2 linked regions of the Caenorhabditis elegans genome follow. The protein of the gene in region 2 purifies or fractionates together with the protein of the main gene of each other region. This does not show direct contact. Each region holds a gene or a part of one and is shown on either strand. Other genes may lie near its edges.

Region 1 (16,210 bases), on a different chromosome or scaffold from region 2:
TGTCGCCCCTGAGGGCTCTCTCCATACTATCAAAAAGTGGGTGGAGCCTCCTCTGCGGAGCAAGAGCGGGGCGAAAAAAGAGAAAAACGGAGTGAAAAGAAAAAAGAAACATCTCTTCAGGAGCCGCAGCTACCACCACCGGCAGCAGCAAGAAAAATAATATTAAAACAGGTGCAAAGAGTTCTGTCAAGTTTTTGTCAAATTGCGGGTGCCAGCTGTTGTGTGAGATTATATAAACAATCAGCACTAAGAAAATTGGATTTATTTATTTATATTTTTTTTTGAAAACTTTTAAATCAAATTTCAGATGGAGCACTTTTTAGTTTTTTCAAATGTATCAAACAAGGAAGGGCGGCATCGGCAAACAGCCGGTTTGCCGATTTGCCGAAAATTTTGATTTTCGGAAAATTGCCGGTTTGCCGATTTGCCGAAAATTTTGATTTTCGGAAAATTGCCGGTTTGCCGATTTGCCGAAAATTTTGATTTTCGGAAAATAGCCGGTTTGCCGATTTGCCGAAAATTTTAACTTCCGGCTATGTGCCGATTTGCCGAGAATGTTCATTTCCGGCAATTTGCCGATTTGCCGAAAATTTAGATTTTCGGAAAATTGCCGGTTTGCCGATTTGCCGAAAATTTTCATTCCCGGCAATGTGCCGATTTGCCGGAAATTTTGATTTCCAGAAAATTGCCGGTTTGCCGTTTTGCCGGGAATTTTGATCTCCGGCAATTTTCAGGTTTGCCGAAAATTGTGATCTTCGGAAAATTGCCGGTTTGCCGTTTTGCCGGAAATTTTGATTTTCGGAAAATTGCCGGTTTGCCGATTTGCCGGAAATTTTGATTTCCAGAAAATTGCCGGTTTGCCGTTTTGCCGGGAATTTTGATCTCCGGCAATTTTCAGGTTTGCCGAAAATTGTGATCTTCGGAAAATTGCCGGTTTGCCGTTTTGCCGGAAATTTTGATTTTCGGAAAATTGCCGGTTTGCCGATTTGCCGAAAATTTTAACTTCCGGCTATGTGCCGATTTGCCGAAAATTTTCATTTCCGGCAATGTGCCGATTTGCCGAAAATTTTGATTTTCGGAAAATTGCCGGTTTGCCGATTTGACGAAAATTTTGATTTTCGGAAAATAGCCGGTTTGCCAATTTGCCGAAAATTTTAACTTCCGGCTATGTGCCGATTTGCCGAGAATGTTCATTTCCGGCAATTTGCCGATTTGCCGAAAATTTAGATTTTCGGAAAATTGCCGGTTTGCCGATTTGCCGGAAATTTTGATTTCCAGAAAATTGCCGGTTTGCCGTTTTGCCGGGAATTTTGATCTCCGGCAATTTTCAGGTTTGCCGAAAATTGTGATCTTCGGAAAATTGCCGGTTTGCCGTTTTGCCGGAAATTTTGATTTTCGGAAAATTGCCGGTTTGCCGATTTGCCGAAAATTTTAACTTCCGGCTATGTGCCGATTTGCCGAAAATTTTCGTTTCCGGCAATGTGCCGATTTGCCGGAAATTTTGATTTTCGGAAAATTGCCGGTTTGCCGGTTTGCCGAAAATTTTTATTTCCGGCAATGTGCCGATTTGCCGGAAATTTTGATTTTCGGAAAATTGCCGATTTGCAGAAAACTTTGATCTTCGGAAAATTGCCGGTTTGCCGATTTGCCGAAAATTTTGAATTTCGGAAATTTTCCGATTTGCAGGAAATTTTCATTTCCGAAAAATTGCCGATTTGCTTAAAAATTATTATTGCCATTCAAATTAATATTTTTATCTTCAGAAATTCAATTCGAGAAACCAAAATATTGAAATAAATAAAAGACCCGATATAAAAAGTGACGAGGTACAAAAAAAATGAAAATTTAAAGTCCCAATAAATCAATCTCTGTGCTTTTTTGCCAATGAATCGACAATCACAGTGAAGACGGAATCATGTTGAGCAGTGTCTTGGGCGGTGAGAATCAGGCACACAGCTCCGATAGCGATGTGGGCAAGTGTATAGGATAGGCCAGGTGTTGTAGCGAATAACTGGAAATTTAGAATTATTACAACAGGGCTTCGATTATTTTGTGAATTACCAAATATGTAAAGGAAGTTGCAAGTAGTGAAACTCCCAGGAATATTGATGTCTGACCAGTTGGGAGTACTTCTGTGAAGGATGGACATTTATCGCCGAGATATTCGCGAATGGTACGCCAGCTGAAAATTGGAGTTATATAATAAATATTGAATTGAAGTTTTGAAATAAAACTCACTTATAAATAATCCTAACAGACATGTTAATAATATTCGCCACAATAAATCCTGCAGAATTCATGTACACACAAAGCACATAATTAATAATAAGATGAATGATCGACGTGACAAAAAGGAATTTTCCGTGAGTGAAAATCTGTCGATTATCCATACTTGCCATTGCGAATCCCTCAGTTATTCCATTAATCGCCGTCACAAGAATATAGCCAGAGTACAGAGAAAGTAGAAGTGCTCCTCCATTTTCAGAAAGTAATTTTCCTCCATAAAGTGAAATTACAACTGGTGAATACGGAATTCCGAATGTGCAAGCGACGAATCCAATTACTCCGACTACATGGAGTACTTTGGATAAAGTATCCACCAAATCATCGTGATTATCTGTATTCTTGTTGAAAACGCTGCTTTCTTTACGAATTGTGTTGGAGAAATAGGCATTGCAGTTCTCATCGATTGGTGATAGAATCGTCCGGACGATGATGCTTCCGACTCGTTCAACGGCGTCGTATACAGCTGGAAAATCAAATTTTTAAAAAATTGGGAATACAATGTACTTTTCGTAAAAGCAACCTATTATTAATTTTGTGATTTTTACGGTTCCCCGTCTCGACACGACAATTTTTAAAGAAAATAAAAGAGTACTGTAACTACGAACTTGTGAAAATTATTTAAAAAATCAATGAAAAATCTGCAACAACACACATTTGAAATTACAGTACTCTTCAAAGGCGCACTCACTTTCGCATTTAATAATAAATTGTCGTGTCGAGACCCAATGCGGTATTTTTGACGCAAAATTCTTGGTGATATCGATTTTTTGCTTTTTTACTCAAAAAAGGCAACTAAAAGACTGAATTTTGAAACGCGACTTTAAAAATGGCGGTTTTATTTTAATTTCCTTGTCAGAGCGGCCATAAATCGATTTTTATTGGATTATTGTCTTATTCAGCTCATTTTTGTCGCTTCTCTCCCGTTTTTTTCGTTGATATAATTATATTAACCACCTATCGACTTTAAATATGCCTTAATCAACGGAAATATAGGAGATTTTAGCTAAAATCAGGGTTTTTTTTCCGGAAATTGTGAGCTTCTCGCTATAAAACTCAGTTTCTGTGAGCTCATTTTGGCTATAATTCGGCAAAAATCACCTTGATCCTTCAAGCTAAGAAGCTCAGTGAATGTCATCACATAAGCACTTCCATCGGTCAACAATTGCTTCAAAATCGAGTGAGAAAACATTGTGAATACTGCATGAATCGAATCTCGATCGATTCCTTCGCTGAATTTCGGGAAAAGATCCGAGAACGTTGAGAATTGCTCAAGTTCAGGAATCGACTTGTTCCGGATGTAAATGTAGAAGGCGACAAAATTGAAGAGAAGATACGCGATGGCTCCGATATATTGAGCATAGGCGAACAATTCCAAATGGTACATTCCGGGAAACATGAATAATCCGGCGAGCACGAAAATTCTCTTCACACAGATCAGCATTCCTTGTCCGATTGCAAAGTGTTGGGCGAGAGAACCGCATTTTGATTCTAATCTGAAATTTCACCACATAGTAATTATAGTTTTTAAAAGCCGAAATTTAAAATCTAAAGTTTACCTCAAAGAAATCACAGAAAACGGTTCGGCAATGGATTCAATAATCGCAGAGATCGGAAAAGAGAGAAGAACACTCCATGAAACTTCATCCGAAGTCGACGAGAATGCATACCAAAGATATACACAGACTACGCTAATAACTGTAGAAATAATAGGGCTGAGCCAGAGTAAATTGATGAATTTCGGCAAAGATCCGCGAATTATTTCAGCTTTCCGGAGTGGTTCTCGAGTGAGAAAGAGGATTGACGAGTAGAGAAGGGTTAATCTGCAAAAATTTAATATTTTGTGAAATATTATTTCAATAAAAAATATAAAACAAGCTTTTTTAAGCTTTTAAACATCATTTGAATCTGAAATTAATTAAAATTTGGCGTAAAATTATAGTGAGAAAACCATGCGGCCACCTTGCAAAATTGTGTGCCAGGCTTGCCTTAAAGCCACGCCCACAAAATTTATTAAATATTAAATGAATTAGAATAAATTTCACTTTTTTTCTGTAAAATTAAATTTAAAAAACCGCTCACCTCACATTCACTAATCCTAAAACATCGTTATTGATCCTCCGCAAAAGATACATATTTATAGCGAACGATATTATTCGAGCGATTAGCTAAAAGTTCAAATTTTCTGCTCAAATTAATATTTTAATATATTTTTACCTGCCCCCGTACATTATGAACAAGTGACGAGAATAATGACATGGTTTTTATCGCTTTTTAATCTGAAAATTGAAAAAAACAATTCCCGCAAAATTATCGAATTCAAAGTATTTTGACGATAAAACTATTTTAATAGAGTTTACAAGTAAAATATAGATGATGATAAATTCAAAATATTTATTTAAAATTCTATGAATAAAGGAGGTTCCCTTCCCTGATTATTGGATATTCGTAGTGGGTGCACACGAACACCATTGCGTCGAGAGAGTGGAGGAATAGAGAATTGGAGTGAGCTGTGTGCACTCAAATGTACTGCAGAAGCCATCTGTGAGACTACGACGAAAAGGTTCTTCTGGAAAAATAGCCAATTATCTGATCTGAAATTAATTTTTTTTCCGCACCTGAAATAGAAATGTGTCCGTTTGACCACTTGGAACACAAACCACATAATGGAATGTTTGACCATGTCGCCTGACTACAGGCCCTTGTGATCAAATGTACTCCGATCAACAATTTTCTTTTCAAATTCCAAGTTTTTCAGTTTCAGTTATAACTATAGTTAAAGCTCGCCACAAAGAAAACAACTATATGGCGTGACGTTTTTTTTCTTGTGAGTAGCGTGATAAGAGAATAATTTCTGGGAAAACTTCGAACTGCAACATTCCGAAGCTGTTTCATTCACATAGAACTAACCGAAATAAAAAATTAGAAAATCTGAGGGGGAAATGAAGTGGGACGAGAAGAAAAATGGGGATGTTTGAATGATAGTGATGTGATAAATACGGAATAGATGAGGAAAAGGTTTGAATAAATTTTTGTGGAGAATAGAAAAACAATGAGGACGCCGTGAATTTTTTACAAGTCCGTATAAGTCAAAATTTATAAATAAAATAAAATGGGATTGCGGCTTGCTTTTTTATGCACAAACGTCGAAGGCATGAGAAGTTTAATGATGAGGATCCCAAGGATCCCAAAAGAAAAAACGAAGGAAAATGACAAGTACGTACAACAAATCTATGGGAAATGTTGGCGGCGCAATATGTAAGAGAATGGTGCTTTTTTCGAGAATGGAATAAAAAAGGAGTGAGCAGAAGAAGAAGAGTTCAAGAACTGATCTGTTTACAGGTACTGTCCAAGCCAACGGATTCCTTCTCCGTATCCTTGTCGCTGAAGAACAGAGCACATGAACACTTCCATCGGCCGAGAAGCCATTTCGTTGCGGGAAACGTCTCCTATAAAGATTTTCGTTTTTTAAATAAATTCAAGCGATAATTTCCAATCAAAAACCAACCCTTTCCGGTGCACATATGTTGAATGTTGAGTTGCCACTTGAGCTGATCCTCACTCAATGCTCCTGGCTTGTCAATCTTGTTTCCGAGAATAAGCACTGGAACGGAAGCGATCTGCTCGTCCTGGAGCAGCGATTCGAGCTCAACACGGCTTTCTTGCATTCTTTCGGCGTCGGCCACATCGATCAAGAAGACGACGGCGTCCACGGCAGGGAAGTAATCTTTCCAGACTCGTCGTGCTGGAAAAATGAAGAAAATTAGTTTAAAAAACCGAAAAAACGAGTGAATACCTTGCGCGTGACCACCGAGATCGTATGTGGTAAACGAAATTCCTCCGAGTGACATTTGCTCAGATGCTGAAAAATAATCAATTCAATAATTCTCACAACTAGTTTTTTGCGTCATCATCTTTAGCAATTGACAGATGATAAGCAAAACCGGTCAATCAGCTGTAAAGAAGAGAAAGATATCATTTTTTTAAAGTAAGATTCCTTCCTTTAACAGGCTGAACTACACCGGAATTGCTTTTAAAATCAATAAAAAGCGATAATTACTTGGGTGAAGAGTGGGAACGTGTTGAGCAATACGATCATCTTTAAGCATGTGAAGCAGTGTAGTCTTTCCAGCGTTGTCTAGTCCCAAAAATACCAATTTTCCCTTTTTGTTGGCCAATCCTGTAAATAAAAGGTTTTATGATGGTAAAATTCAGTTTTACAAACCCAGCATGTTGAGCACTCCATTAAACCAGTCCCATAAAAACGACATATTGAATCTGGAAAATTATGCAATTAATTTATTAATTAAATCACTTAAAAATCGGGTAAATCAGGCATTTTTTAGAGAATAAATGAATGAACTGAAATAGATCAAAAGTGGGAACTTTTAGTGGTTAAATGGGGGTGAGAAAAGAGGAAAAGAGAGAAAATAACGAGGCGGAGACATTCTGTGTAGCGTGCTACACAGAGACAAAACGACACGCGCTTCCACGTGTACCCGAAAAGAGAAAAGAGACGCAGTGTGATAATCAAAAAATTCTAATTCTGAAAATCGGCGATTCGGGACCAGGAAAGCTTCATTTAAAGTGAATCCGGAAAGCGCTGACGTGTCCAAAGTGGCAGATGGTCGAGAAGTGCGCCAGCGTCGGGAAATGCGTCAGTAAGGATGAAAGGCGCGCTTTCCGTGCGGAATGGAGAAAATACGCTTAAGCTTTAAATAACAATTAAAGGCATGCAAAATTCGACAAATATCACAAATTTTAAGTAGAGACGAAACATAATGGAAAGACAATTGGCATTTACAATGTAAAACTCCTAAATTTCAACAATAATCGGTGGAAAATTAAATTTTCGTTTAAATAAAAAGTTTAAAGAATAAAACTTACGCGCCAAAACTCCTTTTAATGAAAAATGTTCAGATCACTTCGAAAAATCGATTTTTGAAACTGATTCGAAAAAATTTAAATGTTGAAAAGAGTTTTTATGGCATGGTTTTTTCTCGATAAAAAAGAAAACGTGAAGGAAATGTTTTTCTTTTGAAATTATTCATTGAAATTTGAATTTATAAAATAGTAAAACTTATTCAGCTACATTTGGTCTCGACACGCCAGATAATTTGTTTAATGCCTCAAAAAAAGCGTGCGCCTTTAAATACTACGGTATATTTCTTCGATTTTAAATCCGCTCAATTTTTGAGAAACTGAAAAATGAAATTTTTAATACCATGGGAGAAACTAATACCGCGACCCGAAGGTTTGTCATTTTTGTGGCAAAATACGGTATCCGGTCTCGACACGACAATTTGTTGTTAATTGCAAAAAGGTGTGCGCCTTTAAAGAGTACTGTAGTCTCAAACTTCTGTTGTTGCACAATTTTCATTGTTTCTCATATTTTTCTTAAAAATAGGTGTATCAATTATAAAAAAATATAAAGTAGAGTTTCCTACCGTCCAATGTAGGCTATGCCAACACGCAAAATTCACGTTAGTTTGAAAGTTTTCATTTTCAAAAAAAAAATCAAGTTCATTCATTTATTTTTTTTTTCGAACTTTATTTTAAGCCAGTCGGAGTAGGTCGAGCCGTAGGCTCGAACGACACCGGCTGGTCAATTATAAAAAAAAACACACATAAATATTATTTAGCAAATCGCGAGTAAAACTGCAAAAAATCGATGAAAATTCCGCTGCACCAAAAGTTTCAAACTACAGTACTCCTTTAAAGGAGTACACCTTTCTGTGTTTAACAAAGATAGTCATGTCGAGACCGGGTACCGTATTTTCGCCTCAAAAATTACGATTTTTTCGTTTTTTTTTAACTCAAAAACCTGTAAAAATATTTTTTTGACAGGAAAAATTAAAAATCCGAAAACTACTGTATTTTTAAAGGCACATAACTCATCTCTGCAGTTTCAAACTCATCTCTGCAGTTTCGATTCAGTAATTTTCGGCCGTGTCGAGACCCGGATTCTTGTTTTCCCTGAACAAATAAAAATTAAACTTTCTAAAATCACCATTTTATTTGAAATTAGACAATTTCAGTCAGTGAATTGTTGTCTACTACTCACGAAAATGACATAATAAAATATATATAAGAGAAATAAAATAAGGCAACAGTATATACAGACAAAGGAAAGAACGAGGCAAAAAAAAGACGAGAATTTTGTGATGTTTTGAGCAGATTTGTCGAGGGTGGTTGTTGGCGAACAATCAAAACGAGATCAGAGCAATGGGGCACCTATGGGGGAACTAAAAAGAAATTTAGTGGGTGCGGTATCCACCATCTGGCTTGGCTGGGGCCTCGGTAGCCGAGTATCCTCCACCGACGACGGCTGGCTGCTCTGGCTCGACATGGGTCTCCTCGGCCTCCTGCTCGTCGTAGGATTCCTCCTTGGTCTCAACAGCTGGGGCGGTCTGCTCGTATCCTGGCTTTGACTCCTGAAACAAGGATCTTTAGTTAGGGAAAAGAAATGGAAGAAGACAAAAAAGTGTTAGTTTTCAGAACATACAGTGAAAATTGGTGCTGGTGGAACATAAGGTGCTGGTGCTGGTACAGGTGTCTCCTCAGCGGTCACCTCTTCGAAAGAGGATTCCGTTGGTTGGACTGGTGCGGCGACTGGTGCGTCGGTCTCCTCTTCGTATACCTCTTCTGGAGCCTCAGTTTGTGCTGCTGGAATTGGGTACTCAGTGACTTGTGGTGCAACTGGGGCAGAGGTCTCGACGAAGGTCTCTGGTGCTTGTGGAATAACTTGTGGTTGTGGTGCTGGCTCAACAACGACTTGTGGCTCAACAACTTGTGGCTCGGTGACTTCTGGTGCTGGTTGAACTGGTTGAACTGGTTCAACGTGTGGCTGTGGAACTGGCTCGACAACTTGTGGCTCAACAACTTGTGGCTCAGCTGGCTCAACAACTTCCTCTTCATATTCTTCAGTATTCACCTCAGTAACTGGCTCGACGAATGGAGCAGAAGTGGCAGCTGGGGCTGGGGCTGGCTCCTCGAAGTGGGACTCCTCGACAACGGTGGCTTCTGGGACAGCTGGAGCTGGCTCCTCGACGTGGGTCTCTTCGACAGTGGTGGTTGGGGCAACTGGAGCTGGTTGAACGTTCTCGTATGTTGGGGCTGGGGCTGGGGCAGAGGTGGCGACAGCGACGATCTCGGTCTCTCCGGCGACTCCTCCTTGGGCTCCGTATCCTTCCTCGGCGGTCTCTCCGGTCTGGACAACAGTGTTGGTTTGCTCTCCGACGACTGAAGTGGCTCCGGCTTCCTCTCCGTATCCTCCAGCGGCAGAGGATCCTCCTTGTTGAGAGATGGCTCCCTCGGATGTGGCGGCGGTGGCGTCAACATGAACGGCAGCTGGTCCTTGTCCGTATCCGGCGGCTGGGGCGATAGCTCCGACTTGTTGTTGAGAGGTGTATCCTCCGTTGATAGCGGCTGGTCCTTGGTTGTAAGATCCTCCGGCGCTCACTGGGGCTCCGGCTCCAGCGTATCCTTGGGAAGCGATTTGTCCTCCTTGGACGGCTCCAGCGTATCCTCCTTGGGCTCCTTGGGCGGCTCCGGCGTATCCTCCTTGAGCTCCCTGGGCTCCGGCGTATCCTCCTTGAGCTCCTTGGGCTCCGGCATATCCTCCTTGAGCTCCTTGGGCTCCGGCGTATCCTCCTTGAGCTCCTCCGTGAACTCCGGTATCATATTGTCCTCCGGCTCCGGCTCCTGGGTAGGCGGCTCCTCCACCGAGTCCTCCGAAAGCTGGTGGTGGTGGTGGTGGGGGTGGTGCTCCATATCCGATTGGAGGTCTTGGGTATCCAGCGGCTGGTGCAGCATAGCTAGAAAATATTGAATGCAAAATAATGAAAAAGAGCAGAAGAAAGAACTTACGCAGCAGCAGAAGCTCCACCACATGGGTTAGCGCAAGCTGGTTGAGATGGTTGGCAGCAGCCACCACCTCCTCCACCGAGGCCTCCGATGCATCCGAGAGCTGGGGTAGCGAGAAGTGCGATCAAAAAGAACTGAAACAAGGAGAAAGTGAGTGTGAGAAAGATAATGAGAAATATGAAAGCCAAAGTAATTTAAATGAACTCACACTAGCCATGACGACGACACAATATGTGTTGGAGTGTAAGTGTAGTACCGTAAAATGAAAGATTCGGTGGCAGCTTAAGTAGTGCCCCCACTCCAACCCAACGTCTTGTCACTCCTCCCACCACCTCCTCCTCCGGCTGCGTGAAAGAGAAAGGCGCTGGCGCAACATGCCCAGCCGAGGGCAGATCGCTGCGTAAAACAGTTTTCTGAAATCGAACCCAGACGTGTCTCCGACGATGCAACGATCTATCGCCTCGGAATGTGGTGTACTATTGGGGGTAAGCAGCAACACCCCCCTCCGGCCACATACGGGTGACCAGTGCCACCTTGAACAAGGACCGGTATATTTTTGAAGAGTGACAACACAAAGTGAGAAGATATGGATAGAAAAACCGATAGTGTGTGTAAGTGTGTGGGGATGGCAGATTTTACAGTGAGATTGCCTATTAAGACAATTTTGATTGCAAAAAATGAGCAGATTAGGAAATTGTAAGCTAGATACATTTTCCACTAGAGCTTGTGTTTTAGACATGGAAAGATGGTAGATCTTCAAAGAGAACAGTGTTATTGAGCTTGGCCCAAGAGGTGTGATTTTGAGCCAGTTGAGGACTACGAATCCTTTGCCTGCCTGATCTCTATGTCCAACAAAAAAACGTTTGCTGTCAGGTGTTGGAAATGCATGTACTCTGGACTGAGCTAGAGCTCAGCTGTATGAGGGACTTCCTTCCAATCATGCAATGATCCTCTTTATCGTGATACGGATTTCAGAGACTTGCTGGGTGAAGGTAGAGATGCAAGTATTTCAACGGTGGTACTACATTCCTAGCTCATCCCCTAGTACCATTCTATTCCCGATGTCTTCCAACCTCGAAAGATCCTACTCGGTTTTCGCCGAAGCTGTGCAAGGATCCATCATGTGACTTTACCTGCACCTCCAGGATCTTCAAACTCTTGTATGAATCCAAATTCTGACTTCTGTTTTCTTCATCTTTGCATGCCTATTTCTCAATTATGTAATCCATGCCCATAATGACATATCCCATTTCCTCACATCTTTCCTCCATTCCCGCCCGACTCATTTATCCGATCCAGTCAGTCGGCGCACTCGGTCTTCATGCAAATCACCCAATATGTTTCATTACCGCTCTATGTATCCTAATCTATTGCGTAACCGATTGTTGCGCCAGCGCGCGCCGTTGGTCTGAAGAAGGTTTCGATTGATAAGCGATTCACTTGATTAATTGCCAACCGTCCCGATCAGGCATAAGCTTTTTCGCTTTCATTTCCAATATCTGCTGTGTAATGAGGTGACACGATGGAAAAAATGAGGAAAGGAGGAGGAGGAGGCTGTGGCAAAGGTATAAAGATTCAGAATAGCCCGGGGAGATATATCAGAGCTGATCTGACAGAGGAACATGATCTGTTCCACTTTGTAACTGAACTCTACATCTTGCTATATCTAGCTAGTGCCTGGGCTGCAGACCTTCTCATTTCAGAAGGTGCAATACATCTTACGCTCAAAGTTGACAGCTCCTCACTAAAATATCTATGAAAATTTTATCAATAACCTCTGCTATAATGTTGTCAGTGTGTTGTGTCAGCGAAGACAAATTTCCAATAAAACTTGTTCCCCGACTTCGTTCAGTGTAAGAAGTGTCTAGTCTCCTCTAAACCGAATATTTCTAATACCAACTTGATTACGCATCTCGGAATTTTCATATTCTAAACAAAGGATTAATCATTGTAGAAATGTTGAAGACTTTTTAGATGATATTCTTCAGGTGCAAATGTAAATGTAAATGACCTAGGCTCGCAAGTTTACAAGGCCTCACGGCAAATGTGATATGATGTTGAAATAAGTGATAACACTGAGATACTTTATCAAAAGTAAAGTATACCAGTAGATAGACTACTAGATAAGTACATATTTTTGAAACAAATTGTTCATAATTTCTAAAGCAGCCAACTTACCGGTGATTGAAATTCTGTCGGTCTGATCAAGGTGGCTATTCAACTGATCCCTTTGCTATTTGACCTCCGTCTCAAATGAGGTAGTCGTCATACGACGTTTACTGTGGAGAGAGTAGATACGGCCCGAGAAGTGGGGTCCTGTGCGCAATTTGTCTACCGTATACTTGGACGTTTGGGCGCGTTTTTTTCTCAAAAACGGATGGCCCAACATTTTTGTGATGCATATAAAAAATGTACGAAAATAAATGCTGAATTTGTTGGTCCAAAGCTTAAAACGCGCCCAAACCTGGCTAAACCCAAATTATCAGTAGAGCGCCTTTATATGGATACCACTTTGTACCACGAAATTTTTGACCGGGCAATCTGACAACAACTGATAAATGATTTTTCCGCAATGAAGCTAAACTTTTTCCTATAGTCATGCAAATGCGGTTTATCGAACTCAAGATAATCACTGTCAGTCAACTACCGGGAAATTGACTGCTATGCAAAGTCTTGATGCCTTTCAAAACGGCTCGATTTATTATTGAAACACCTACACCAGCACCTGATCGGTAGAGCACATTTACACTGGTGTAGTTCATAGTTAATCATGATTTGCAAATAAACATATCACATCAATATCTATGGACTTTGTTCTACACAAATCTAGTTCTGATCTTAAAAATAGCCATATCATCAAATCAAAATTACATAACAATCTGCCACGTCATGAATCAAACACCAGGGGGCCACTCTTCCGGTTTCTCACGAAAAACAAAAAGTCCAAGTGACTCTATAAACATGCCTGTTAAGCTGAAAGGACGATGCAAAAATTCAGGCAATTACGCAAGCGGTGGCGGCTTCCCGGTTTCCCCTACCGCGCAATGAAATTCGTTTTATCGCTCAGTGGGATCTCAGGCCGGGCAGCTTCTTTTATGCAACGGCGGGCGCCTACCGCCCTCAAAATCCTTCATTACGCAATTTCGCGACGAGTTTCTTTATTGGCGACGCCTATCATACCTTAGATGACCTTGGGCAAATCTGGCTTCTCCTCTTCCTCCCTCCGTGATATTTATCTTTAGGCTTTTCGTGTTGAAAGAAGGGAAATGGGAAAAGAAAATAAGTTATATTTATTAAGAATCAGACAGGGATGAGGGGACACAAAAATATACAAAAATTTGATTATTAAACTTTGGAAGTTTTTCTTTTTTTCAAATTGGAAGTTATGCCTATTTGCACATTGAGATGAGATGAGAAACGTCAAATTTGGAGAAAACAGAAAAAAAATAAAAATTAAAAAGTCATGGCCTAGAAGATCCAGTATTTTCTTCCATAAGGATTTTCATTCTCAATAGTTTCGATTTGAATCGGCTCGCTCACTTGCTTGGTTTCAGCTCCTTGCACCTGTTAAAAGATATGTTACCAGTCCAGATATAGTTAATATTTTGTTCGACACTTGTGAAATTTTAGTCCAATTTTAGTATATACCCTTCTTAAATTACTCGAAAATCTATTTTTTTAATTTTATTTATGCTTTTAAGGGTAGTCAAAAGTAGGTACACCTTTTAGAAAATCTGATTTTTTTTCCAAAATATCGGAAATTTTCTCAACATTTTCAGAAATTTCTTTCTAAAAATAATTTTTAAAAATTCTGAAAATCGTCCACTTAAAAACTTCACATGTCGTCAAAAAACTATATCTTAAGAAAATTTTGCAGTACTACATAGAATTTAGTTCAGACCCCTCACCGTTTGACCTCCAAAAATTGCAAAAGTTGTTACTAGGATTTGACGCAGAAAAATCCCGCAATTTTTGGAGATCATGGCGGGTTCGGAGTTCATTTTCACAAAAAAAGTATTTCTAAAAGTGTACAGCTCCAATTTGCGAATTTTTGAACACAACAACTTAAAGTTTAAAGTCTCAGTTCCTTCTAACCTATCAAGTTTTCTTCACGTTTCATCTCCAGTGTGACCCGGAAATTGAACCGTTCAAAAAGCTAGGTGTAAAATTTTGACAGCTTTCTACGTCACAAACGTGTTTGGTGTGATGTTTCATGCGTAACACAACATACCTTTGCGAACTTGCTTCCGTATTCTCCAAGATTTGGCACAGCGTCGGTTTCCGTGGAAACCTAGAAAGTGAATGTGTGAGTGGATTGGATGAAACTTAGAGCTTACCTTGTTCTCCACCGATTTCTCTTCATCATAGTCGTTTCCGTTGGCTGGTGCTGTCTCGACGGTCTCCGAGGGCTGTGAAATGTGAAACTGAACCATGCGAACCGAGAAAATCTAGACTTACCTGGGATGTCTCCTTATCTTCCTTGGAGGTTATGTTCTCGAAGAACTGGGATACTGGAGCAGCAGATGTTGGCAGAACCTCAACGTGTACCTCAGCAACTGGTTGTTCAGTAATTGTTTGAATGACAGCTGGTTCTGGATTTAATGGGACCTGTGGTGTGACAACCTCGTGAACTTCAATTGGGAGTTCAAATGCAATAGTTGGAGCCGGTGCAGACGAGGTGACTTCCACACGGACGGCTGGTGCGACTGGCTGGAGATGAACCTGTGGTTTTGGCTTTGGCTGTGGAATGATTGGAGCAGTCTCCTCTGGGATTACTGCGACGGGCTCTGGATTGGATGGAGCAACGTTGTGAGATGGCTCAGCAGTTGGAACATCTTTACGATCCTCGTTCAGTGGGGCAGTATCGTAGTCGTCTCCTTCGGTTTGGATGATGGCTGGTTTTTGGTTGGTGTTTGGTTCAACGGTGACTTGGTTGAAGTCCAAGTTGCTAGCTGGGGTGGTGTTGTCGAGCTGCAAGGAAATACATTTTAAATAATGTTGGTCCAGAAGATTCTAAATTTCAACTTACAGTAGCAAGAAGCTCATTAACAGTAGCTTGCTCATTAGCTGGAATGTTAGATGGCTGGTCATAATCCGATCCTCCAGAAACTTCAATTCTATCTTCCTCAGCCACGACTTTCTGCAAAAATTCATTTTAACCTTTTCGAAACAAATAAAAATTTCCTTACAGTCTCTGGTGCAACATGGGCAGTCTCTTGAACAACATGTGCTGGCTGAAGTGGTGCTGGATGGATTGGTGCAGGCTGGATGGGTTGGATTGTGTGGATCTCTTGAGCAACTGGGGCAACTGGAGCAACATACGGCTGTGGAGCTGGTTGAATTTCTTGAGTAATGTGAGCTGGAGCCACGTATGGCTGTGGCTGAACTGGAGCCGGGACAAGATTGGCTTGACCAGCCTCAACTTGCTCTACAAAAGTTTCTGGAACAAATGGACGGTGTGGAATTGGAGTAGTGAAGACTTGGTGGACTTGTTGCTGAACTGCTGGAGCTGGTTGGAAGGATGGCTGAACCGGCTGTGGAGCTGGACGAACTGGTTGTGGGACGAATGGAGCAGCGGTTTCAACAGCAACTTGTTTCGGGTATGGAGTTGTCTCAAACGTCTGCACGATCTCCTTCACGATCACTGATTCGGGGACAACACGTTGCTCGTTAGACTCGATGGAAGATGAGGCAGATGGGACACGAACTTGGTGGGTTGGATGATGTTCAGCAGAAGCGGAAGATGATGAGGAAGATGATGAAGAGGATGCAGCTGGACGGTGTTGTTGGACTTGTGGCTGGGCATGATGAGTTTGGGTAGCTTGCTGCTCATCTCCATAAGAAGTTTGAGTGTTAATGATGGAGGAGACAATCTAAATGTTCGTTTTTTAGTTTTAGTATCATCGATGGATATGACTTTTGCAAATTTGTTGTCAGCAAATTGTCAATTTTGGAAAAAAAAGTTATAAAAGTTTGATAAAAGTCGCCACATAAAATTGCCAAAAATTGGCAGAAAGCTACCGAAATGTGACAGAAAGTTGCCGAAGATTAACAGAAAATT
Region 2 (17,571 bases):
CATGCTAGACCATTTTAGACATTTATAGAGAATTAAATGGATTTTAAGTTAAATATGTTCAGAGCATTGATAAAGTTTCAAACACTGAAATTGTATGAATAATTTTTATATAACATTCGGAGAGCTTAATTTTTGATGAAGTATCTTCAGTGAAAACCACATGAAAGACTGTCATTGTTAAAATATTAAAATACAAAGGTTAAAATAGATGGGTGACCTTTTTCCTTGGTCTGGTTTGGTTCGCCAGATTGGTAAAGATATATCAAAAACCATCGAAAAAAATTCGAAAAGTACAAAAAAGTTTAAGTAATTCAAACGCAAGAAAATACAAAACCTGGGCAGGTTTCATTTAAGAAAATAATCAAGAACGCGGATTCCTATCGATTAAGTATTGACTCTAGGACACTGAATTTCACAAGGAAATGGCAAATCCGTTCAGCCACAGACAACAAAGAAATAATTCTACTGTTCTCACGCCTTCGTTGATATTTTGTTCTTCACAATGCACTTGGTGAAGTGGTTCAGGAGACTCACGTCAACATCAGAACGTCATGATGTCTTCACATCAGTGGAGGAAGGGATCTATTATAATTAATGCGAAGAATAAATAATCGAACTGGTGGGCCATGAAATGTCTATCTACGTTTGACAAGGATCTTTTATTTAGCTCGTTAACTTAATCGGTAGTGATAGTACTGAGCTTTTTGGCATAGAAAAAGTTTGAAATAAACTAGAAAGTTATTTTCAGTATTGTGCTTCCTATCATGTTGATCTACATATATGTAGTTACAATTTTAGTTTTTAAAAGATTCAAATAATTGATATTTTTAAAAAAGCAAGCAGTATATGTTCTAAACACACTTTTACTATTCCTTTTCAGGACATAGGGCATGTGATTTAGGTGAAAGAGGACGGAAGGATGTGGATGTGCAAGTGTGTCATTAGGTATGGGAAACAAGAAGCAAAACTCAGAACTTGCTCTTCAAGTTTCAGACAAGGACACAAAAGACAAATAAAAGGACACTAGAAAGGTCCTTGTGTCGCGATTCCAATTAGTTTTCTAACTTTTTTTTTGCATACCTAGTTGTGAGAATTACATTGGCGTGTCATGCCGAGAAGGAATATTCTGAATTTGTGTTTTTTTTCGGAATTCGAGAAATTGGGTCTCCAAGTTCTGGGAAAAATTTGTAAAAACTCTAAAAATGTGCTGGTAGTTTGGTTTGTTCGTTTTCTTGGACCGTTTAATACTTCCTTATTTATCAGTTCCTCGAGACAGGTGAGTTCGGAGTAATGATTAGAATTTTGCTGAAAATTGTAGGTCGTACAGCGAAATGTCATCCACCACTTAAAGAAAAGCTGCCCCAAAATTTTTTAACTTGGTATTTAATCGATGACCGGAAAAATTTGAATACAATAAAAGCACTAGACTTTTTGGAATGTAAACTCAAAAGTTTTTAATTTGGCATAAATTTGAAATTTGGTTTTTTGCCAATTCTTGAACGGATTGGCTACTTTGGAGTAAGATAGTTTTCTCATAAATATTTCAATAAATCGGCAAACTAAGCATAATCGGTAGAAAATTTTTTAGTAGTGCTCAAAGTTCGAATCGAATTATGGTGACAAATCTTTTTTGGATAAAATGGCTTTCAACAAAATTATGAGATTTTTATTATATTTGCAAAAGTAACTTGATGGGTTTCCAAAAATGAATTGAAAAATCCAAAAAATCCAATTACCTACAAAATCCGCAAATAAAACAAAACAAAAATACACGCACAAACATGAACTCTGATCAAACCACTTGAGAAACTGTTGTACTTAAAATAGCCAGATAACTTGAAACAAATGAAAAAAAAATGACGATAAAGAAGGTTTTGAATGAAATTTGAAAGATGCCTGGGGGTAATATTGAGCCTATCTCATTTTTATAAGAAAAGCTGAAAGAAACGAGAATGCAGTGCCATTGAAGAAATGAAGAAAATAGTAGAGACATTGAATTAATGTCACTTATTTAGTTGTTTCTTTATTCCAACTTATATTTGGCTGGAATGAAGACACACAGAAAACAATTGGTTTCAGATAGATTTGGTGCTTTCGAGAATGTTTCAATAAATTATTAATCAATGAAACGACGAACAAATGACAGATGAAGAAAAGAAATTGAAAAAATAAAACGATAATGAGAAAACGGACACCACCTGAATTTGTGGGACATAAAAAGATGTGGTAGATCAAATATGTTTCATGTGGTTCGTGGTGTTGTCATCACATTCTCAAGTTACGGAAAATGGGAGGTATCGGTTATAGATCAGATTGAGTAGGCTACGTTTTTTATAAGTGAGCGGAGAAATTCAGAACATTACAAAAAATATATTTTCAATATTCATGTCTTTTTTATTCGTACCATACGAGGTAATCCCGTGATTTTCATTCGGAGGCTGCGAGTTCAACATTCGAACTCAAACTTTTGGATAAGTTTTGGTTCCTTTTGAGAAGTCTTAACAACTTCTAGGGTAACTTTTATCAGTGAAACACTGTGCCAGATTCTTTCAACAGCCTGACAAACTCCCCACGACGCCATTCAACCTTTTATAATTTGATAACAGTTGCCAGTATGATTCCACAGAATACTAGGCAGTCATGGAAAATTTTGTCTGGAACAAGAAAAATGTGGAGGCGACGGTGTCCACAATTTTGCAAAATTCAGGGTGACGTTATGTCGAACTAATTTTGAGAACACATCAATTCAGGATTATAGAGCATCGTGTTTTAATTATAGCTCATGATTTCACAATTTCATATTTTATGTTTCTATGAATATTATTAAACCGGAAGTTGTCTGATATGTTCTCGCTAGCTGAATTATTTTTTTTCAAAGTTACCAAATCTCATAAAATGAACCTGTGTGAACTTGAAAGGGCTTGAAAATTAATTTATGGAACCTTTGAATATATCTATGGCAAACATGTTAAGTATTTCAAACTAATTAAAATTGTATTGCAAGTAAATATTTTCACAACCTTTTTGTTTGTCCAATACAAAAAGTGTCAACTGACAAGAAAATAATTATTTATTTTCTATCGTTGTGTCATATATTATGTAGTGATATAATATTTTTGAAATTGACCAAGATTCAAAGCGAAGTAGTGGGGTGCAATAATATTAGTGAAAATACGGTAGGTTTGATATATTAATTTACTAAATGGTTGATGCAATTTCTATTCAGCAATATTATAAACTATCAACACTTTGAAAAAATTCCAATATTTTGGGAAAAAAAAGAAAATAATTTTCGAATTGGAGTAATTTATATGATATTCCGATTTTTGATCTAGAAAGAAAATTACACAAGGTGCCTATTTTTGAGGGAAAAACATAACAAATGAATTTACAGGAATTTACAGATATTGTTCCTCTAATGCTAATCAATTTTTAAAATTTTTATTATTGGAATCATTTCCAAATGAATTATAAATTAAAATTTCCAAAGTTAGGGTCTATCTGGTCATTGAAAAATAACATGGAGTCATCTGTTCCGATTGAATCGAAAATCATTGTCAAATGTGAATTCCAAATTTAACATAGAGACAATGACATAAATGGCACAAAAATAAAAACAATTGCTATTTATACGTGGGTTCATCTCACGGTATGTGACATAGCTCATTTGCTTTCACACGATTCATTCGTTTGCCACCAAAGATGAAAACAGACGAACACACATGCAAAAATTGGTATTCTTTGAGAGCCAATTTCTGAGGATCCTTTTCAAATTATTCCAATCTATCCCACAAATTTCCCACGTTTTCTATTTTAACAAGAAAGAATAAATAGGAAAAAAGAAAGGTTTTGCTTTTCCTTTCTTTTGTGAAATCTATTTTTGATGTCATAAATATGATTGGCTTGCGAAGTTAGTTGATCGAAGAAGATGTGACCGGAGAAATTTGAAATGCGGAAGAAGATGATTAAGAATAAAAGCAGACATCACAAAAAGACAAATTAGAGTTCTTGAAAGATATAATACATGGTTTTGCCAGAGAATAATTTGATATAATTTACGTAAAACAATTAGAAGTGAAAACGGGCATTGAATGTTCTTTGGATAGAAATCTGAAAGTGACGTTAAGAGTTTCGTGGATATTGGATGTTTTACGAGATGAAAAATACTTCCTTTATTCGCATGCAATGCAAAACATTTTACAAAAAAACTAGCTCGTAGATTGAAAACTCTGAGAGTGACGAAGTTGATCTATATTGACGACCGAGAAAAAAAAATGTTTGCAGCAGTGTGCCGTACAGGGAAAACTAACAATAATGATAATTTAACTTTTGAAGCGAAACTTTTTCGCGGGTAAAATCTTGCGCCAGGGTTTTCCCTACCGTCTATCTGCATTTTGAAATAATCTCCAGTTTTTGGGTACTTGCTTTGCCAGTGTAAACCAAAACATAAACTAACAAGATCCTACAAATTTTAAGAATTTCTCATTTCCTCATATCAATAAACTTGCTAAAAGCTCAATGGTAAAACTGCAAAAAACGTGTTCTTCAGAAGTAGGCTCGGATGTAGGCATAAGGTAGGCGAGGGTCGCCTTGTAAGGTAGTCGAGGCGGTTTTCTCATTTGTGTCAGACATACGGGCGGATTTGAGCATAATATCAAATTAGTGAAAAAAAATTTTAATGTTATAAAATTTCGTCCGATATGGTTAGGAGATAACTCTTGCAAAAACGTTAATTTAGTTCATCCTGAGTCAACGGCACTGAAATATCATTTAAAGATGAAATTACTAGAATTTGCCTGTAATTGATTGCATCTCTTGTTGATTGAATGAATGAGTTGTTTGAAAAAACAAAGCAAACATTGAAAATATCCCTCGACATTTTCTGAGAAGACACTGGAATTTTTTTAAATGTTTTACTGGAAAAGAGTTAATTTATCCTTAGAACTTTTTTTATTCCGACCTGACAATATAATCTAGAGCTTGTTCAGCCATTTGCTCCAAAAAATATATACGCAAAATTAAGTATGTTTGAAACTTATAGTTTATCTATTATCTATGACTATGATTCTCATAGAAATGTGATTTCTGTTCTTGGATTTTCTAGAGGAAATGATTTTTGTGATGTACGAAGAAATATATTGCCACGCAAGCAAAAATTGTTTCGTGATGATTTATGTCAAACAAAAACCCCGAATACAAACATGTCTTTCAAAATTATGGTTTATTTTATGAGGTTTCCGATAAGTTGGTAAAATGTTAAACCAAATGACGAATACTCATTTTTACAGAACATTCTAGAATTATAGATTTTTGAGAAATAATTGAAATTAACTGGATTCATTTCGGTAAGCTACCGAACAATTAAAAAAATATATACATAGTTATAATTTATAAATCTATGTACTACTGTATTGTTTTTCAAAATTTCGGGTCTAGGTGTATAGGTGTAACCATATCAAAATTATTGTTCTGAATTACCTGCCACTAATAAACTACAAAACTGCAATAACGGTGTGTTATCGAGAGGAACAACAAGAGAATCTCTAAATATATATTTATCGCATCCTTTTGTTCTGCAGCTCCAAAGCGAAAAATGGGAACACGCCTCTTGCTTATTAGCCCAATCGTGTACACAATAATACCAGCGATGAAATTGTGTCAAAAACCAAACAATATACTATTTCCTAGTTCTTTGGCGAGTCTTTTTTGTAGAGCTCATTTCCAATAATTTTTCATCTCAGTTCACGTGAGCACGAGAAGCAATAAAGGTGTCGCCAAGTTTGAAATGAATTATTCATTGCCAAGACATGTATCGGATTTTGAAGGACACATAAACTTTATTCCGAAAAACAAAATCACAGAAAAAATGCTACAATGCAAGAGATGAAATAGGGTTACACGATGTGAATTTTATTGAATATGTGCCAACGGAACCCGTAGATGAATCCTTCGCCTTTTGCGAGAACCGGTAATTTGTGATATTCGCATATGAGATGATCACCAGAGTGAAAGTCTAGAGAACGGGTGATTCCATCGATTGATGAACGGGGCTGAAATAATTATAACAACTTTAAAATGAAGTAATGAAAAAAATATTTAGAGTACTTTTAATATTTAGAGTATTACGATATTCTAATTCCGTTACCAAAATTTTGACTGAAAATTGAAGTTAACTTGCATTACTCTAATGTTTACTCTATTTCACTAGAGTTTGGCATTCCTTCTAAAGGTACACGGATTAATCCATATGGGTCTCGGCACGCAAAAAAGTTTATGGTAGCTTTTTTCGGCTTTGTGTGGCTGTTTTTTATATTTTCTTTGAATTCCAACGAAATTACTTAGTTTTTAACAAATTTTGTCGTTTTATTTTCGTTTTCCTGATAAAACTTTTAAATCAGTTCTCAAAGTGCAAATTTCAAAAAAAAAAGATAATTATAAACCTTTTTGCGCGCCAATAAAACTCGGAGAATTTTTTTTTTAATTTTAGATTTCATGCGCAATATATTTGACGCGCAAAATATCTCGTAGCGAAAACTACATCATTTTATTTTACTTTATTTTCTATCTTCCGGTGTAGCTCTTTCTTGTGACAAATAAACAATATTACTACAGTAATTCGTAAATGACTACTGTACCGCTTTTGTCGATCTACCAGCTCGATTTTTGGAATTAATTGTTTTTGGAATAGTGTTTTCGTTTTTTATATTATTTTCTAATGCTTTGCTTGATTTTTATATTCTATCGATAAATAAATTATTTTAATTAATTTCGATAATCGAGCCCGTAAATCGACACAAGCGCTACTGCAGTCATATAAAACATTACTGTAGTTTTCGCTACGAGATATTTTGTGCGTCAAATATTTTGCGTAATACGCAACTTTTTGTTCCTGTAATGTTTCTATTTTATAGAAAATCAAAACATACACTTTCTCCACTAATTGTTCTCAGTTCTTGTACACTTTGTAATTCGTTTGAATACTCATTGTCTTCATCATCTTTCCGTTGAGATTTTTCTAATTTCTCTTCACTTTTGATAGAACTTGCAAATTCCCCTTTGGCTTGGTTTTTGTATCGAAACTGCAATTTTTGAAATCTCATTTTAATTCTATGTTTTTTTCTAATCACTTACACAAGCCGCTTCCAACTGTTCAACTCGTTTTTGTGATTCTTTCAACGCCTCATCTAATTGTCTAATTCTCTCACTATTTTCATTATCTTTTCTATCATTTTCTTCAACAACATCTAATAATCGATTTTCGAGACTTTCCGTCCGTATTTTTATTCTTTCATAATCTTCATTAAGATGATCGTACTTCGTTTTCCAATATCTTACATTTGAATCTTCTTCCTCCTCATTTCCCATTGGAAACTGAAACAATAAGGCATTTTTTAAACTCGAAACCTTCAATTTCTAGTGAAGTATGCGGTCGCAGCAAATAAGCCATCCTTAAATCAAAGAATTGAGGAACTTACATTTTTCAGACTTCATTTAAACAGGAATTGAAATTTCAGAAAGCGATTTGAATAGTAAATATTTAAATATTGCTGGAATTTGAAAATACAGTTACGCAGTTAGAAAAACTGGGTGGTGCGAAAGAATATTGGTCAAAATAGAATTCTACATCTGCTTTTTTTTACAACACAACGCAATTATGGAAATGGGGGATGGAAATGAGAGAGATATTTAAATGAGAATAAATAAGATTAGGAAGTACATGAATCGGAAAAATTGGAAAAAAGATATTTATCGCAAATCGTCCTCATCTTCACCTTCAATGGTACGCTTTACCTTGAGAAGCAGAGAAGTCGACCAGTTATCGAGTCTGAAAGAAAAATATTGATAAGAATGTAGTCACATGACCTTTTCAAAGCATGTTTATGGCATGATACCAACAATGAGAAAACTATTGAAAAAAAGTGAAAAGAAAATTAGCATTATCCTAATAGTGATTTTTTTCATATTCCTGGAATTCGAATCTAAAGACATCATGAATGGAAAATTACTGGCAAAATGGTGTATATATTTATTTTGAAGGTTTTTTTTTTTAATATTACAGAACAAAAATCAGACTGGTAATTAATTCAATTGGCTAAAAAATACTAGCTCTTAAATTTGAATTCTCGAGTTGCACGACAATTCAAATCAGCTACTTTTGACTTTTTCCAGCTCACTAATTTAACAATCAATTTTTGTTTCAGTTTTGTGATAAAAGTATACAGAGACATATGATGCAGTTACAAACTAATTTCAAACTTGGCATTTCTAACGAATTTTTTTTTCAAATTTGGATGATTTTTTAAATATTGAAAAGTGATTCGACAAAACACGATACCTGCTAATCTTGTCAAAGTTTGCCACACATTCGGTAAAAGTTTCTTCTTTCTTTTCATCAATAGCTGCCAATAGTTCCTTTACAAATTTACATTCCCTCGAATCTGTGAACGATGGAGACGCGTTTTCGTACTTTTGAAGTGCTTGTTGTGTGTTGATCTTAAAAATAAAACGATTTCAGTGTTAATGCAGATGGGAGCTTACTGGATCAATGCACAAATGACATAAAAGAGCTTGGAAGAAGTGTCCTTTAGCAGCATACTTGAGGGTTGAATGATCGGCTTCGAAGAATGCAATCTCTTCGAATACAGCAATAGCTTGAGAATACTTTTCCAATTCGGCAGAATACATGGCTACTTTGACAAGGCACTTGCTGGCACTACTTTTCTGTTCTTCTCCTTTATAATAGTCGGCGGCTTGTTGGTAGTGCTTCACACATTGCTCTTTGTCCGGAAGCTCAGTTTCGTAGAGTTCAGCAATGCTTACATGATTTTTTGCGGCCATTGTGAAGCGACCCATGTCAGTGTAGATTTCCGAAGTTTTTTCAAGACATTGAACAGCACGCTGAAAAATCAAGATTCTTAAATTACGAACAAGTCTCGAAATCTCGAACCTCTGGTTGAATCTTGCGGAAACAATTCGCAGCTTCAGCATACTGAGTGGCGCAGTCGTGCTTGGAGTCCCCATTTTTAGCGTAGAATTCAGCGGCTTCCAGGAATGCGTCACCAGCGGCTTGCCAATTTTTTGCCATTTTGAACAAATTTCCTCCCTAAAATATTACAAAACATCATAAATATTAAAAAAAAAACTGAAATATTTAGTAGTTTTATTGCGACCTGTTTAATTTTAATGGCTTTAAAATATTTTATTCATATTCCGTGCGTTTCGGGGGCGAGATTCATTTTTCGAGCTGCTTTTTTTACTCTTCGTTTCGTTTTCATTTCTAATCCATGTTGCATTTCACCAGACCATCCGGTATCTTCACCTTCCAGCAAGCTCATTTTGTTCATTGCACCATTTAAGATTGATGTGACTCCATTGTCTTCTGCCTTCCGCCGACGAGACGATTCACCATGGATGAAGTGAATAATCCGTGAATGCTCATCACGTGTTCGGTTATTAGAAAATCGAATTTCGCATGTTGGATGAAGACAACGAAAATGATTAATTCCAGGCTCACGAGAAACTTGAATTTCGAAAAATGGATTATGTCGCTCGTCATGATGAACCTCCAAACGATGAGCAGTATCGAAACCAATTCCACATTCGAAACATTGGAGCGAGTGCTGTGAATAGTGATTCTCATAATCAAGAAGATTTGAAGCAATGTAATCACATCCATTATGACTACATTCTATTTCACAAAACGAATGTTCATCAATAAAATCTTCATCATCCACTTCATCCATGTTGTCATCTTCCTGGTCGAGCCTATTGTTGGCAAAAGTATTTCGCAACTCATTTTGCCCAGTTACAGTTTCTTGATTTTCAGAAGAAGTATTCACCTGAATAAAGAGATCTGCAGCTTCGGCATTTGAACCGCCACCTCCAAACATTCTGTTTAAGAAACCGCCGCCTCCCTGCAAAAATAATATTATATTCATTGCCATTACATTGTTTTTACTCTATTAGCTTTGCATCCCATTGCTCAAATTTAACATAATTTTTTTCTTTTGTAGTTATTGATTTACGAATATCTTCAAAATCAATATATCCAACGCGGAGCCATTAGGTGCAATACTAATAGAGTAAGTACGATAATCGCAAATTTAAAAAAATAAATTCTTACCGACAATTTTTTCCGTCCTTCTGCCATTTTTTGGCGTGCTTTTGCTTCATTGTCGGACATTTTCTGAAAATTTTCGAGATTTACGCACAAAAGTGCACTAAAAATACGCGGAAACGAAGAAAAGTCGAAGAAGAAACGAAAATTCCAAAAAGTGAGGAAAAGCAGAGAACTTATTGAGTGCGCAGTGAGCAAGAAAAAACGAAGAATCGATGTGGACCAGTGGTCCCAGACGCCGTCGCCTCGTTTTCTTGTTATCGCACGATCACGTTTCGTTGTAACTGAAGAGGGAGAGAGAAAAGACACGGCCACGGCCATTTTTAAAAGCAGAGAGGAGGAGAGATGTCATATGAGCATGAGAATTAGAGAAAAAGAACAACGGACAAATATTTATTACGAGACGTCATGAATAAATGTATTTCGTAATTCAGGAGTTTCGGGGCATTGATGGATTAAATTAATACGCGGAGAAACATGTTATACGTTGTTTCTAAATGTAAAAAACTCAAAATGTTGTCGCAACAATTAAATTTATAGCAGAACGAATAGTCCAGCACGGAAAATTCAAAATAATGAAAATAGAATGGCTCATGTGTACATGATTTGGTGATAAGATGAGTTTCAAATAGGAATAAATGGAAAAATTTAATTAAAACTAGTAGATTAGCATTTAATGAGAGTTTAAAATACTTTTCTAATGTGTTGACGGAAATAAAATAATTATTGAAAAACCAAAAAAGCGCGCGCACCTTGCGAAAATCGCGTGCCAGAGTTGCGTGTGGAATTACGAGGCCCCGCCCTCTTCATAAAAAATTTTTAAACTAGAAATTTTAATAATTATTTAAATGATCACTTTTTTAGGCTTCATGCAGCTTGTTTTGGTTTTGAGAGTAACTTTTTTTCAGAACAGCATTTCCGGTATTGATTTCCATCTGTAAATTTTGTTTGAAAAGAATAATATGCGGTTTTAAGTTCAAAATTGTTTGTTTATCAACCACACGCTCATAATATTTTATTTTGTTTTTAACCTAAAAAGCGCATATATTTAAGATTAATTCTAAAAATAAAATAAAAACATGTTTCCTTAATTTAAAATGAAGAAAGTTGTTTATCGCTCTCTTCTTCGATTTATTAAGAAGAATTCCTCCCATCGTTTGGTGTTTGAAATATCGCAGTAGTACATTGGGGCGCATTTACCCGATTTTCGGTCAATAACAATAGAACCCTCCTCCGAATCTTCCGCATATAATGACACATTTCTGACCTTCATTTGTAATACTCGTTCAGTATCCAAACGCCTAATATCATATTAACGATCGATAATTTGTAGAAAATGGATTTGTATGACGATGATGGAGAATCTGCTCAATCCGAAAAAGTAGATGTTCCATCTGAAGAATCAACAATAGCAGGTCCCGAAACTGATATTCCAGCGGAAACCATAGAAGAAAATGTGCCAGAAGTCGAAGAAAATACATTATTAGAAGAAGATTCACTTGTAGATGTGGATTCTCCACGCCCATCTCAACAACGGGTTGGTGTCATTTATAAAAAATTAATTTTTAAATAATGTTTTTTTTTCTAGTCAAAACCAAGCAAATCCAAAAGAAAACGAAAAAGAAGTTCTTCGGGAGAAAGCTCAGCCGCAGAACCTGAAATTGATGCTGGCGCAAAAGGTTTGAACGTACATTTTGACTTATATATTCAGCGAAATTCAGTGAAAGGCCCACTATCAAACACGAATAAGGAAATCAACGTAGGAACAGAGTTTCAAGCGAAAATCGCGGATCTTAATTTAAATGATAAAGCATGTAATGAGGATAGAGATGATCAAGATGAACTAATATGGAATACTCCGGAAACTATTGATGATGAAAAGTTAGAAGCTTTCATCAGAGAATCATCTGATCGATATCTTATTCCTATTGATAGAGTTAGTTTTTAAAAAAAGTTATATGGGAATCTCATTTGATGTTTTTTCAGGCTCTGTATATCCTAACAATAAATAACTTCAATTTTGACTCGGCCATAGCAGAAGTTGCACGACGTAATGAACTGAAAGATGTGTGGACAGATCAGGAAATTACTCTTTTTGAGAATTGTTACCAGATTTTCGGCAAAAATTTTTCACAAATTAGATCAGCGGTTAGTTATTTTTTTTGTTGTTAAGCCTGCAACCTCAATTTTTTTTTATTTTCAGCTCTGTCATCGATCTCTTCAGTCAATTGTTCAGTTTTATTACGAATCAAAAAAACGTGTAAAATATCTAAACTTTGTCAATTCGAAATGTGATGATAGTAGTAGTTCGGAAGAAACTGAAACTCCATCTCCATATCCTGAAGCTATTTTCGAGTCAATGTGTGACAACTGTGGAGAAAAAGCTGAAAATATGCAGGTTTGTGTTTTAATAATCAAATTTATGTTTTTAGTATCGAATAATCTTCAGTTTTCTGTTCAAAACTATTCCAAAGCAGTAGAGGCAATTTCATGAATTTGTCTATTGCACCGGGGTTTTCCCACATTTTTTAAATTAAAAATTTGAGCTAAAATTTAAAAATTCACAAGATTTATCTGAAAATACCAGTTTTTTTTCAGCTTTTTTTGGCGATACTTATTCATTCTGCACAAATACAAAATTCCAATGCAACTGGAAATAAAAAATAATTTATAAAATCGGTTTGAATGGGAATATTTTATTTACGTTTCTAACAATCTAAATAAATATTTTACAGATCAATAACGCGATGAATCGTCCAGAATGCCGTGCTTGTTTAATTTATTTCAACCAAACGGGAGTACCTCGTCCAACAAGTCTTCGTCTGGTATTAGCTGAACGTATCCGAAATCAAGTTTCATGTCCTGATAGTTAGTGATCAAATTCTTGTGACTTCTATTAAAACGCACCAAATTTCAGATATGAAGGAATACATGAAGGATTTTGACAAGCTATCCGCACAGGCGACCGGAAGCACTTTCCAGAAAAGAATAATCGTAAAAGATCAGTGTGTGGAATATATAATTGATGGTTTTTTATAGACTTCTCTCAATTTTCTCATTTAGATATTTACAGTTGACAAAATTCCATCTTCATCATGTACAGAAAATGGCAATGTAGGAGAGACATCGAGCCCATCTGCACAGAAAACTGAGATACAAAGCGAGTCTGATGGTTCTGGGCCTCTCATCTGGAGGCATAAAAAGACAGTTTGTATGGAAGAGATTGAGTAAGTTTGTTTATGATAATTGTATTATTCTTATTAACCAGTCTACTTTTCAGAGTTCTGGCTGATGATTCTCGTCGTAAAATGTTTGAAGCTTGTCAGCATGGGAGTAAAGTGGACATTAAATTAGTTGCATCGTGGAAAAATGATATGACAAATCTGAGAAAGCGAGTTGAGCAAACCTACTACGATCCTGATCTCAATCCCACATACCTTTTCTCTCATGATCGAGTGCATTACTCTCAAGATTGGACACAGCTGGAAAGATCACAAGTTATCAGATGTAAGCTGCCCCTCATGCGTCCTATAATTCAATTGCATACTTATAGGTTTCAACATGTATGGAGCTCATTTCGAACACATCGCTGATGTTATCGGAACAAAAACTCCTGACCAAGTCTACCAATTTTACTTGGAAAATCAAAAAGCGATTGACGCTGTAAGTTTTTAATTGACTGATAAGTAACATATTACCATATTCATTACATTTTAGGCCGATGAAGAGTTCCTAGCAGACATGAAAAATCCAGAAAGGCTGGCTGATATGGAAGAAGAAGAAGATTCAATTTAGGTTTTTGTTGAATATACAGTCAACTTATCAAAACTGTGTTTCGCATTGTCAATATATCATTTTTCCCAGTTCCTGGTTTCTGAATTGTCTTTCTTATTCAATATGTTATTCACTTAAGTAGTATCATGTGTCATAAATAATTTAACAATTAACTTAATTGACCACTTTCTGGTCATCTGAAAATTAAAAACAACCTTTAATTCTTAAAATAAAATAAATTACAATTTCAGTCCGATTTTTTAATTAACAAATAATATAAATACATCTTTTATTCATCCATCTTAGAATCCTCTTCCATTGTCCTGTACACCAACTTCGTACGTGACAATATCTGAAATTGAATTTTCTACATGTTATCATTTAATAGAACTCACATTTTCCAGAAGTTCACCTCGGAGCGGAACATTATCTTCGATATTCTCGGATAGGTTTTCTGGTGTCCATTTGTCGTCGGAGTTTATAAATTCTCTGAAATTCGATCTGTTTTTCCGAATTACAAAAGTCGATGCTTACTTCAAAAGTCCAGAAGATTCTGCAATTGCCTCCTGGGGTTGATCATCAGAATACACCAAAATTGGATGTTGGTTTATGGATACAATCTAGAACACGTAATAGTTGTATTGTGTAATAAAATATTTCAAATAAAAAAGAAACTTACTTTATCTGGACGAACAACAATTCTAATTTTCTCATCAGTCTCCGGAGATGTGTACTTTAAAACATTCAACTTGAAATCCACAACAGAACTGAAATTATATTTTTGTTAAAATTCCTAAAAAGAGAGCTCACTCTATCTTAGAAGCAATTGTAGTACCTTCCTTTGCACCATCTCCAACTTCCAGGCGATCATTGAGCGCCAAAAATGCAGTCCATTTTGAGAAATATTTGCTTCGGTGTTGGCAATCCTGATAATAAATATTTTAATTTACAGTTTTCCCATTACATTGCCAGCTGAATTGGATGCCTACGTATACCTACGTACCTAGGTATCTTATGCCTACCTACTGCCTAATTTCTCTTTTTTTGTAGTCTGGTTTTTTAAGGTTTACTAATTGTAGATTTGATATTTTCTCATTCAAATTGAATTATTGATATTTCAGTTAGGAAATGACCCGATTCATATGTAGTTTGCCAGTAGGCACGAGGTACGCTTTTAGGCAGGCATTCTTGGGACTGCATGCACTAAAGCTTAACACGAAAGTCTAAAAATCCTGTTTAGCTTGTCAAACAATTCAAAGACTACTAGACTTACATTTGCTTCAATTTGTTCTGTCGATTCACTTCCAACTTTCACAAGTTTAACATCTCCAGTTTTTGTATAATCCTCCAGTAACATAGTCTGATATTTACTCATATTTTTATAATACACATTAAAGAAAGTGGCTCCTTGTAGTTTGTAGTATTCAATGAATCTTGCCACTTCAAGAATGTTCACATTTTCATCATTCAGAGGAACGCAAACTGTCAAAAAGTGCTCTGGTCGCTGTCGTTTAACGATTTGAACAGGATATTGACCTATGGTGTCAAGTGTTTCACTTATTGAAATATATTTTGCTCCGGCTCTTCTAGGACAGTACACTGTAGATTCAGGATACACAAATGAAGGCTTTGGGTCACCCATTCCTTTCTTATAGCAATCGTGATAACGACAGTACACAGTTTCACTGAAATTTATTTTTTTGAAATTCCAAAAACTTTATGATACAGTCAGTACCTGGAAAAGTTTTTAGCCGAAAGTGTTACAGCAATTGAGTCCTTGTAAGCAAACGCTGAAATTATTCTGGGTTTATGCTGAATATTTTCAGTTTCATCCTCAGAATCCATATCTAAAAGTAATTTTTTGTGAACTGATTGATTTGGAACTTCAACTGTAGTTACGTCGTTCCACTCTTCAACTTTACACCTGAAATAATAAAAACTACCAATTAATTGTGTCTCTCTTACTCACTTTCTGTAGCTTTTCTTTTCTTCCTTCGCATTATACGATGAGCTAGTCGTTTGGGTAGTTTGGTTTTCCGTGGTATCATCAACATTTTGCCTCTCAGTTGTCTCCACAGTAGTAGTCTCTTCTGTCACCTTTTTCGTTCCTTCTCCAATTTCTTCATTTTCATTGTGATCTTCGTTGAGTACTCGGAATGTTGATTCTTTCTCATTTCCATCTACCTGCTTCTCTTCATCATTATTGCTTTTCAGTTGTTCTTCAATAGTTGTTGTATCTACAGAACTTTCAGAAGTTACTTCAGGACTCTTAGTTGAACTGTCACCATTCTTTTCTTCAGTTTCGGATTTTTCTACAAGTTCTGCTCCGTTTGTTTTTTTCTCTGTGGTAGTTGCAGATTCGTCAGACGTAGTCGTTGTTTCTGATTCACCTTCTTTCTCAACGTGATCGCTGTCTTGAGAAGCTTGGATGCTTTCCGCTTCCTTGCTTGGAGCTTCATCAGCAACTTTATTTTCAGTCGTAGTTGTTTCTTCATTATTTGATACAGTGGTACCTGATTCTGATTCATCTTTTGGATCATCATTTCCTTCCCGATCTTCCATCGAAAGTTCAGTTGTCGTAGTGACAGCATCGCCTGATTTATTTTCTTCTGCATCCTCTGAGTTTCCGTGATTCTCATGCTCTTCCTCAACTTTTTTCTCTTCTTCCACAGCTTCGTCCTCTTCTTGAGCTGGACCAGATGGTACTACTGCACTATCAAAAATTGGAGAGCTGGTATCGTTACTTGGGATTTTTTCGATACCGTTGGATTCTATAGTTTCTGCTGATCCTGCATTATCGTCAGAAACTTTATCAGGTTTCGGTTCATTTGCCGTTTGATCAGCTGAAGTTTCAGAAGATCCCGGATTTTCAGAACCAGCATTTTTAGATTCAGTGTTGGAAGAATTGGAATTGACGACTTCTTTTTGCTGATCAGAATATTGTTGCTTATCTGTAAAAATCACTATCTAAAACTCTAAATTGAATATTCACACATGAGTTTTTCAATATTGTTTTCTATCAAAAATAAAGGGAAAACGTTATAAATAAACGAATAATTACCTGATACAGGAGATGCACTTTTAGAATCTGGGAACCCAATATAAAATGATAGAGCTGATAATATAATGACAAGAAGTAAAAATTTTAAAAACCGGTTTTGTGTGTTCGTTTTTGACTGCCACGCAAACGGAGTATTGGAGATATCTCGACCCATTTTTCCGGGAAGCGAAATGAGTGTGGTATGAATTCAAAGCAGCAGCAATGGAGATTTCAGGTAGATAGCGAGGCAAAATCTAGATGGCGCACATGAACGCCACATTGAATACAGACGTCGGTTCCGGGATTTGTGAGAAAGGGTCTTAAGACTATACTTGCTTTAGGGATTGGAGAAAATAAAATGCATAACATTATTAGTCCAAATTAAATAAAAAAAAATAATTGTTAAACTCATTTTATTATATTACCAAATTATGTCAAACATCATCACTTAAATTAGTTCCATCTTCTTTTCTTTTTATCCAACACGGAGCATTGATTCCACCATGAATTTGATAGATTGCCTATTTTTTATCGCAAGATACATCGACGACGTTGTAAACCCATTTCACACGATTCAAAATCTGAAAGTTTAGAACATTTTTTTGAGCTATGTTGTGAGACAGAAAATGTAGTGAAAATT

The links.
Region 1: the proteins of snap-1 (region 2) and sar-1 fractionate together in Caenorhabditis elegans (co-fractionation; one large-scale study listed by BioGRID). This does not show direct contact.

The regions. Positions count from the first base shown.
Region 1 is NC_003282.8:4,506,759-4,522,968, forward strand, and holds sar-1 (Small COPII coat GTPase SAR1), read right to left. Parts: upstream 6,562-16,210; 5' UTR 6,555-6,561; coding exon 6,509-6,554; intron 6,464-6,508; coding exon 6,344-6,463; intron 6,146-6,343; coding exon 6,080-6,145; intron 6,029-6,079; coding exon 5,792-6,028; intron 5,733-5,791; coding exon 5,620-5,732; 3' UTR 5,135-5,619; downstream 1-5,134. Other genes in the region: rfth-1 (Man(5)GlcNAc(2)-PP-dolichol translocation protein RFT1), read right to left, coding at 1,862-2,011, 2,062-2,182, 2,239-2,749, 3,385-3,779, 3,843-4,106, 4,366-4,451, 4,501-4,542; ZK180.8 (uncharacterized protein), read right to left, coding at 4,682-4,825; ZK180.5 (Prion-like-(Q/N-rich)-domain-bearing protein), read right to left, coding at 8,541-8,717, 8,789-10,100, 10,153-10,283, 10,358-10,366; ZK180.6 (Prion-like-(Q/N-rich)-domain-bearing protein), read right to left, coding at 13,618-13,713, 14,381-14,440, 14,487-14,558, 14,608-15,120, 15,179-15,289, 15,339-16,022. UniProt on the Caenorhabditis elegans protein: Small GTPase that cycles between an active GTP-bound and an inactive GDP-bound state and mainly functions in vesicle-mediated endoplasmic reticulum (ER) to Golgi transport.
Region 2 is NC_003283.11:8,123,232-8,140,802, reverse strand, and holds snap-1 (Alpha-soluble NSF attachment protein), read right to left. Parts: upstream 10,187-17,571; 5' UTR 10,184-10,186; coding exon 10,124-10,183; intron 9,915-10,123; coding exon 9,840-9,914; coding exon of another isoform or gene 9,204-9,839; exon of another isoform or gene 9,104-9,203; coding exon 8,948-9,103; intron 8,899-8,947; coding exon 8,539-8,898; intron 8,494-8,538; coding exon 8,336-8,493; intron 7,826-8,335; coding exon 7,747-7,825; 3' UTR 7,474-7,746; downstream 1-7,473. Other genes in the region: D1014.4 (t-SNARE coiled-coil homology domain-containing protein), read right to left, coding at 5,895-6,050, 6,927-7,079, 7,132-7,365; REST corepressor spr-1, read left to right, coding at 11,454-11,654, 11,706-11,796, 11,839-12,053, 12,104-12,265, 12,321-12,515, 12,853-12,985, 13,035-13,145, 13,191-13,344 and 3 more; gtnt-16 (Glycosyltransferase family 92 protein), read right to left, coding at 14,181-14,243, 14,287-14,380, 14,426-14,511, 14,571-14,658, 14,702-14,817, 15,165-15,576, 15,627-15,815, 15,861-16,842 and 1 more; gtnt-17 (Glycosyltransferase family 92 protein), read right to left, coding at 17,453-17,512.